Linked DNA regions of Schizosaccharomyces pombe. Changing the gene in region 1 together with any one later gene gives a genetic interaction. Each region holds a gene or a part of one and is shown in the gene's direction. Other genes may lie near its edges.

Region 1 (5,970 bases):
GAATGGCTGCTAATCATGCATCTGCTTACACTGTGGATGATTATAAGGCGGCCGCCAATTGTTTACAATGCGCTAGCGGTATTGCCAAACTCTTACGCGAATCTTTCATTCATGCACCTGGAAGAGATTTAGATTCCAATTTTTTACTAGGTATTTACAATCTTTTCTTGGGTCAAGCACAGGAGTGTGTCTTGGGACATATGTCTTTTTCAGCTAGTGACTCTAACATGAACTATTCGTTGGCTGCAAAGATTGCTAGTTCGGCAGCTACTTTATATGATAGCTGTGTACACGCATTTGAATCTATGGAACCGGCGTGCAATCCCAATTTCATACGGCTTGCTTCTGCCAAAAAGGCCGCCCTTGAGGGATTTTCCTCTTATTTTATGGCACGCGCTCAGTTGGAAAAATCGAAACAAGGGCTTGCTATTGGATATTTACAACAAGCTAAGTCAATTCTTTCGTCTGCTCAAAAGTTATTCAATGGTATAAAGTTGAGTACTGATTTTATTCATAAGCCTAGTCTTTCTGACTATCCTCAGACCATTTCTACCTTCATCAAATCCTCCTTGTCTCATTTGTTAAAAACTGCTGAGAAAGATAATGACTTTGTGTTTCATGATCTTGTAGTCAAGGAAGTTGAGCTCCCAAAAATATCTCCTTTGCAAGCTCTACCACCACTTCCTTTAGAGAAATTGTATGGAAGTCAAGATGGATTTGAAACTGCAAAAAAAATTGTTGGAGATGATTTGTTCAAGGCCTTTGTGCCTAGCGCCGTTACGACCGCCAGTTCGCTGTATTCAGAGGAGACTGCCAAAGTGTTTCGCGCTGAACAAGCTGAAGTAGAACGACAAAACACCCAAATGGCAACGGTTTTCGCCTCCTTAGACCTTAGCCGGCTTCAAGAAATCACACATTCGGATTCCAAAACGAACTTTATTCCGAAAGAACTTATAGAAGCTCGTTCCCAACTTATTTCTTTTAATCCTACTTTTAAAATTCACGAGTTGTTTGCAAAATCCACAAAGTTGAAGCAAATTATAGCGAAAATTAAGAGTGACTTAGAAGTGGAAGCCAATGAAAATGCCAAGATGAAGGCGAAACTTGGACCCTCGTGGACGTTATCAGATAGCTTAGAGTTTGCCGCTCCTTATCAAAGTGAACTCAACAATTACTTGAAGACCTTGGCAGAGGCTTCCGCTACTGATTCCGCTATATCCCAACAATATGCTTTAGTAAAAGATGATGTAGAAACGTTGTGTAACTCTTCCAAAATTAGCGCATTACTAGAATCGTCCATTTCCTCAACTGATAATTCTGGTCAAAGCTTACTTGATATTCCTATTGAGCAGGAGGAGCAAGAGCGCGATATGAAAATACAGCTTGACTTGTTAGAAGAATTGCAATCCAGAGTTCAAAAGTTAGTTCCTGAAAGGCAGACCACTTTACAGGCTTTACAGCAAAAGTGTTTGCAAGATGATATTTCTGAGTCTCTCATGCAAAATAGTAAGCGGAAGGACTCTGCACTCGATACCAATCAGCTTTTTGAACTAGAATTAAAGAAGTTTGACCCCTTGCGAAATAGATTACATGCATCTTATCGGCAACAGCAACTACTATTGAATGAGATGAGAAATGTTACACAAAAGTTGAAACAAAATCCGGAATTTTTGAGAAAGATGGAAGTATACAATAACCAATTTTCTAAAAATAAAGAGTTATGTTCTAATTTGCTTTCTTCTTCTCTTACGGCTAAAGCTATATCGGAAGGTGTATCTAAGGGCCTTGAATATTATAAAACTGTTGAACAGAGACTTGCCGAAATTAATAAGACCCTAGGAGAGCAATTACTTTTAAGAAGGAAACAGGGTGCCACATGTCTTTCAAAACTTTCATCTTCGAGCTCCTCTCATACAAGTATTTCCTCTAATATGCGAAACCTTCACATCTAGCGCCAAGTAACAATTTGGCTGTTACTTTAGGTTCTTTGTCTTCTAGTGTTTAAGTAAACCAGTCCAACAACTTTATAATTAATAAAGCTTTTTGGTGAGCGGACTCTTTCGTTAAAGTTAGTAAAGATGGATGAATTATCAGAAACGCAAGTTATGCAAAACGAAACGGCTACAGCTGTTCTTCCATTGCTGAACGGCGAGAGTCAATCGTTCAATTTGCAAAAGCATCTTAAGTATTTAACCAAAATGCTAGATCCTCTTCCTTCTCCCTTTACAGTATTGGATGCATCAAGGGCTTGGATGGTTTATTGGGAACTAAGTTCATTGGCAATTTTAGGCAAACTTGACAGCTCTGTTTGTGAACGGGCTATTAGCAGTGTGCGACAGTTGAAAGGGCCTAGTGGTGGTTTTTGTGGTGGGAATGGACAAGATGAACATTTATTGAGTACTTATGCTTCTATACTCAGTATATGTCTTTGTGACTCCACCGACGCATATTCCTTGATAGAGCGCGATCGTTTGTACGATTGGTTATTCTCTTTAAAAAATCCGGATGGTTCGTTTCGAGTTAATAATGAGGGAGAGTCGGATGCTCGATCCGTTTATGCAGCTGTATGTGTTTCTTCTTTAGTGGGAATCAGTATGGACGATCCTCTGTTTGAGGGTACCTTGCAATGGCTTTGCAAGTGCCAAACTTATGAGGGAGGTCTTTCAGGTGTCCCTTACGCCGAGGCTCATGGCGGATATACATTTTGTGCCCTTGCCGCAATTGCTTTGCTGGGAGGTCTTGACAATTTAAATGAAATAAAACTTAGCACTTGGCTTGTACAACGTCAAGATCCTGCTCTTTACGGATTTTCCGGTCGCTCTAACAAGCTAGTGGATGGTTGTTATAGTTGGTGGGTCGGTGCTAGCCATGTGATTGTGGCTTCAGGCTATGGTTCGGCTTCTCATAAAAGCCTGCCTAACCTTTTTTATAATCCAGAAAAATTATTAGGATATATTCTTCAATGTTGCCAGAGTACAAGCGGCGGTTTACGTGACAAACCACCAAAACGGCCTGATCAATATCATACTTGTTATTGTCTATTAGGGTTATCATCAATTGCTTATGACTACAGATATCACACTTCTGATGGTTGGTCCTATAAACCTTCCATCTTACACTCCTCTTTAAGCTCTTTATTACCGGCTCATCCAATTTACTGTGTTCCTTTTGGTTTTGAAGAAAGAATTAAATCATATTTTCTGTCACAAGAATCATCAAAATTCTAATGGTTTATTTATGAGTTGTCTATGGACTTTAATTTTTCATGAGAGGATTTTTTTTATTATTTTAACGGTTTATGTCCCGAGTTTAATATCATGCCTATTTTACTTCTCTATCAGGTATTTACTTCGTCATTTTTACACATGTTGAATAAATAATAATTCTTGACTTATTTGTTATCTTTAAAATCATTAATGTCATTAGAATAATCCTTACTAAAGGAAATAAACCATAGCCTTTTACTTATATAGGCAATCGTGGTCCCAATAGAGATCTGCATATAATGGTAACAAATCAGTCATAGAATGCTTTCCGTCAGGTCTCGTAAAGTAAAGCTCCCAATCGTCAGGTGAATATAAAGGCTTATCTGCAATTTTATTTAAAATGTCGTCTAAGCGTGGAATAACAAATGATGGAGCAACAACGTCAACAACTTGCTTATCGTCTCCAGAAAAAGAATCATCAAATCCAACTTGCGAGCAAATAAACCGCAGCGGTTCATAATGAGGAGTTGTAAGATGAGCAGTGTCATCTCCGTCATCTCCTAAATCATCGTGTGTAGTGTATCCATATGTCTTGCGAATGGAGTGTTCATAAAAGTCCTCAAATTTTGCATCAGAAACTTGTGGAGTGTTAATTTGAAGAGTATCTTCAGCAATCAGATATCCACTGTGTTGTAGAGCTTGTGGCAGGTACTTAGTAATCGACCATGGGACATCTTTCAAAACATAGAATATATTACTTTTAAAAGGACAGACTTGAAAGACCTCGTCTAAGCCAAAGGCACCTGAATTTAGACCACCTCGAATGCCACCCGAATTTACAATAATATAGTGAGGAATGTGATGTCGAGACTCATTGACGACTATTTTTGGAAAAAGTTCGGATTGAAATAGATGATAAATTGAGTTTGAATCGTTAAATGGAACTTCTGAAAATGCAAACTTTTTTGGGGAACAACCTATAGGAGTAAGTAAGCCAAGTGCCTTCCGAGCTTCGTAAATGCCATTAGAAATAAATTCTCCAAGTGAGGTATTGAAAGAAGACTTTTTTGTTTTCGAATGAAACATAAAGCCCTCGGGATTCCAATCAATATAGGAACGAGAGAAGCTGACACTGGCAGATTTAGCACTTTGCAAAGAGGAAAATATCTGCTGAGATGACCGTCTAATACTTTCGCCTATAAATCTCAAGCGCTCAGCTAGATAAGATTCCACCCCCATTAAAGAAGAAATCCCAGATAACTTGACCAACGATTTGAAGGATGGAATGCCGTTAATTGAGACCCAACCAACTGTTTCGCAATATCTTCCTGACTCAATTCCCACTGCTTTTTCATCGTAAATGGCATAATCTCTAATATGGGAATGACCACCAAGTACTTGTATTGGAGTGGTAGGGAAGTGAATCCGAAGCTCTGAAAGAACGATATCAAGCTCTGAGGCATTGTGAACGGGTACATGAGCGGGAATCAGAATCAGATCGATGTCTTTATTTGATACCATATCGTTCCACCATGGCTGTAGCGAGAATTGCGAAACTGGGAGGACACGAACCGTATCAGTAGCACCAGAAAATGAGTTTACAAATCCAAACGCAAGGATTTTAACATTGTGGGGTGTAGAAAAGATGGCATATCGATCTCCAAAGGGTACAAAAGAAGAAACATGTTCATCATATATGTCAATGTTTGCAGCTAAATATCGGCCTTCCCACAGAGGAATGAAATTATGATAAGTATCATTTGCAACAGTTGAGAGATAAAGCTCATGATTTCCAGCAACAAGAATATCATAATCCATATTTGCAAGTAATGAATCTGTCCAACTACCAGGGGGATCTGTCAGATCTGACAGGCCCGTACCATCATGAAGATCGCCGGTATCTACTAGCAGTAAATCAACGTCTTTTTGTTTTGCCAAGTGCTTCATATGTTGAACAAAAGAAGCGAAATCTCCTAAATCTCCTGAATAACGTTTATCTCGCGCATGTCCTGCTAACCAGCCATGGATGTCAGTAGTGTGTAAAATATTGACTTGACCCCATGTCAATTCCCGACGAATTGCCAAGGGCAAAGTTGCTGAATAGCAAGGATTGATAACAAATAAAAGAGAGAAAATTAATGAAAATGTATGGGCAGGTTTCATAATAAATATTGGTTCCCAGTATATAGGGTAAGTGCAGAATCGCCAAGATAAGAAGATCAAGTACCAAGTCACAAGCAGCAAATAGTAGCCAGCCAAACCTTCGTAATATGACAATCATTGCTTCCATCAAAAGTCATGGGAGTTTTAAAAAAGAATTCGTAGTCGCCTATTTTTTTTAATCAAAAATTTCTAAATGAAAATTGCGACGTCTGCAAAACGAGCACGCAAATGCAAGATTTTGAGATCGTCAAATGATTAAAAAGCTTTAGTGAAACACTACACTTATGTTATGCCTTTAACTTCCGGTTGGGCATAAGTATTTAGTAAAAGAAAAGAAGAATTGTAAATTGACAATGTGTGGGGAATTGGTTTGACGAACGATAATAGATAATATTATGCAATATTGTAAGTAATATTTATAACCTTATCACAGAGAAAAACGCTTTTAACCAGAAGTATTCCTTCCGAAAAACGTATATTGTCTTTATTCACCAGAGAAGAGTGCAAAAACAAAATATTGTCATTGTTGCTCAAGAAAATGATTAAGCAAGAAAAATTGGTTTTATAGTAATGCAAAAAAATTTGAAAAGGAAAAAATCAT
Region 2 (3,643 bases), 1.7 Mb from region 1:
TAAGGATGTGCGGATTGAATACCAAAAGGAAGCATCTTCAAGCGATGAGGATGTCTAACGAGGGATTTTGATACGGCACTCTTGTTTCGATCATCATCGATATCTTCTGTTTGCTTGTCGAGTATTTGCCCTGTTGCAAGGTCAATAACTTGACCCGATTTGTCAGGATGATCGGACTCTAAAGATACTCTCTTTCGAGCAATTTCGTTCCACTCATTATTTTGTGTACTAGGAACAAGGCTATTTTGAGACGGCTCAATAACCAACAGGTCTTCTGCCCTTGGTCTTTTTTTGCTAGTACTAGAATTCTGGGGAACCAAATTGTAAGGCAAACTACTGTAAGGAGTTTTGAAGGCAGGAGGCGTGTCTGGAGTTATGTCTGATAAAGCGGCTTGTTTGGAAGTTGGGACAAAAGAATGCAATCGCGGTCGTTTCAAAGGAAAGTTTAAATGACTAACTTCTTTAGTTGGAGTGGTCGTACTGTTTTCATTTTGCAACGGGACAGATATCATAGAGTCTTGTGGTCTTTGACGCTTCATGGGCGAAATGCGAGTAGTAAATTAAAAACAAAATAATGTAAAGACAACAAAAAGTAATAAATAATGTTTGAAATGAGAAAAAAATCTAAATAAATCTGTTATGATGTTTTAGTCTAAAACCTAGAGGTAATACAGACTGCCGTAGTAACTTCCTTTAGTTCTAAATTATTTCGGTAAGTACAAACCCACAAACCCGTTCTCAAAATTGAATTAAAAAACACCGACAAATAAAGATCAGTTAATTTTTGAGTTTTTCAATTCAATAAAATTTCAGTCATCTATGTTGGTGAAGGTTGCACATTATGAGCTAAATCTAAATTTCGTCTAGTGCATGAAGTCAAGCATAATTAACCATCTAGAAAAATCCAGCAAAGTCGAAAACATTTAGAAGTCATTGCTTTCTTAGAAGACACGTTTTAATTACTTTTAATTAAATTTTTATTAGCGCAAATTCTGGTTGGTCATATATTCTGTAAGGGAAAAGTAAGTAGTAATATAAATTTGACATGACTTTTCAAAGCAGCTTCGAACCCTTTTTAAGATGTTAATTTAATTTACTGAATATTAATGGAAGGTTTGGATCAATTAAAAAATATTAAAATGCTTTAAATGCTATTATTGTTGCAACATTTCATTGTAAGTATATGTAAATAATCGGAATGTCAGATTTCAACTTAAGAAATTAAAAATTGAGTAGATCAGGAGATTATAAAGAAATAATTTGCTTCGGCATTGCTATATATTTTTTTGGAGATACTAACAAATGACATTTCATGACTCTGGTGATTAGGTTCTCGTTTTAAACTAAAATAATCATTGAAACGCATATCAATATATTTTTCTATATCGTGTTGTTCACCAGAAGCCTTCAATGCTTTATATAGGTGTTCAAATAATTTGCATGAATCTCTTTAATCCTCATCAGTTTTAATCGCTAGGATGCTGAAGATACAGATTTCTCATAGGCAATTTGTAATCACTAGTCATTCGTTTTGTACGACCAAAGCGCATCTATCCGGACAGGACATGAATTAGGTATTATTATAAACTCACAACATTTCATACTCTACTTAAAATTAGATGGGTTTTGCAATTACTTGATGTACTTGATGTTTTTTTTATTGTGCTCAAACTGAAAATATAACACCGGTTTAATTAATAGGCAATACTGAAATACCACGAATTGGTCGGTGATACTCATATAACCTGTACGTTTGAAGTTTTATGAATATACTCCGTTGCCTACAATAAAATTAATAAAAGACTATGATAAAAGTTTGAAATAAATCACATATTGTAAACATGGTAATCCTAACTCACTATTCATCTACTTACTCTCCTTAGTTAACCCACCATCACACCTGAACAATAGTACGCACTAAACAAAGAGACTCATTGTTTTTCGAGTTGATAATTTAGAAAAACCTGACAATCCTTTTTAATAAAACACTTATAATTAAATTTTCGGCCTTTAAGTATTTGTTTCTTTGAGTTGAGAATTGTACAACGGATGCCAAATTAATGAAATGGATCCCATTGATCCCGAGTTAAATGAAATTTTGGATTTTACAGAATATGGACCATTAACACCCATTCCTCAGGATGATGGCGAAAACCCATTAGCGAAAATTTGCTACACGACAGGATATGAACAAGGAATGGCTTATTTTCGTGCCATTATGGCTAAAAAGGAGTACTCCTTGAGAGCACTTAATTTAACAGGTTTCTTGATTATGAATAATCCAGCTCATTATACAGTATGGGCTTATAGATTTCAAATCCTAAACCACACGCCCAGTTACATAGACAATGAATTAGAATGGCTCGATGAAATTGCCGAAGATTTTCAAAAAAACTACCAGGTTTGGCATCATAGGCAAAAAATACTTTCTTTGACTAAGAATTATGAGCGTGAACTTGAGTTTACGAAAAAGATGTTTGAAATTGACAGTAAAAATTATCATGTCTGGTCCTACCGAGTTTGGATCTTGCAAAATTTTAATGATTATTCTCAAGAGCTGAAGTTAACCAACGAATTATTGGAAAAAGACATTTATAACAATTCGGCTTGGAATCATAGATTTTATGTTTTGTTTGAAACCTCCAAGGTGGTTTCTTGGTCTTTGGAAGAGGAACTGAATTATCTGAAAGACAAAATCCTTTTTGCTCCTGACAATCAGAGTGCTTGGAATTATTTGTGTGGGTAAGTATCTCTCATTTCCATTAATTACATTCTTCATTAACTTTTTTACAGTGTACTTGACAAATCAGGACCTTCAAAACTTGATAATCTCATAGCTAATCTCCGAAAAAATTTGCCTGCTTTACACAAGCCACTCTTAGAGTTTTTAGCTATGTACGAGCCTTCGTCGTCTGAAGAGATTTATCAAAAACTAGCAAATGAGGTTGACGTACCGCATGCCGCTTTATGGACATGGATGTCCCAAAGGAGCAATCCTTAAATCTATGCTTTGAATGCTAATTGGGTTTACTGATATTTTGATAAAGCATCTTGTTTAAAATTCCTACTAATTAAGAAAGTAGTTGTGATGTATAGTGAATCGTTTATGAAATCAATAACATTAGTCATTCCTCCAATTGTAAGTTTCACATAATAGTGAACAAGTAATGGTTATTAGGCCAAACAAAGAATAAAAAAAATGTCAGAGGCATATTTTTACTTTTCTTTCTTAAGGTTTCTTCGAACAAGTTCCAAAAATCTATAGATATGTTAGTGTTCGCACAATCAATGGAATACATTCAAAAAAACATACGCAGGATCATTTTGAATTCCAGATTTTTTAAATATCTCCGTGATAGTTTCAGCTAACTGCTTGAATTCCGGATCACGAGTAATCTTTAGGATAGTAAGAGGTGACGGTTTTGAACCAGCTTCAAGGCCGTATTTCTCAAAAAACTGACGAAGACGGCCAACCTTTTGAGCAAGTTCCGGATCATTAACAACTAATGAACTCATTTTCTCTTCAAGTTTCTGGACTTGCTCATCCATTACTGGATCCTTGAAAATAGTGTCGTCAGGTTGCGTAGTCGCACTTCTCTTCCATGTTAATATACTAGGAAACCTATTCCTATACAGAAGAGCA

What was found.
Region 2: of cpp1 (region 1) and cwp1, extra expression of one rescues a mutant of the other (dosage rescue), as found in Schizosaccharomyces pombe (one study listed by BioGRID).

Annotation. Positions count from the first base shown.
Region 1 is NC_003424.3:3,592,454-3,598,423, reverse strand, and holds cpp1 (protein farnesyltransferase beta subunit Cpp1), read left to right. Parts: upstream 1-2,017; 5' UTR 2,018-2,078; coding exon 2,079-3,227; 3' UTR 3,228-3,461; coding exon of another isoform or gene 3,462-5,369; 3' UTR 5,370-5,430; downstream 5,431-5,970. Other genes in the region: bro1 (vacuolar protein-sorting protein), read left to right, coding at 1-1,952; SPOM_SPAC17G6.03 (phosphoprotein phosphatase), read right to left, coding at 3,462-5,369. UniProt on the Schizosaccharomyces pombe protein: Catalyzes the transfer of a farnesyl moiety from farnesyl diphosphate to a cysteine at the fourth position from the C-terminus of several proteins. The beta(cpp1) subunit is responsible for peptide-binding.
Region 2 is NC_003424.3:1,864,031-1,867,673, reverse strand, and holds cwp1 (geranylgeranyltransferase type 1 alpha subunit Cwp1), read left to right. Parts: upstream 1-1,902; 5' UTR 1,903-2,065; coding exon 2,066-2,742; intron 2,743-2,793; coding exon 2,794-3,001; 3' UTR 3,002-3,123; downstream 3,124-3,643. Other genes in the region: SPOM_SPAPB1A10.05 (uncharacterized protein), read right to left, coding at 1-539; protein dpc13, read right to left, coding at 3,217-3,259, 3,314-3,643. UniProt on the Schizosaccharomyces pombe protein: Catalyzes the transfer of a farnesyl or geranyl-geranyl moiety from farnesyl or geranyl-geranyl diphosphate to a cysteine at the fourth position from the C-terminus of several proteins having the C-terminal sequence Cys-aliphatic-aliphatic-X.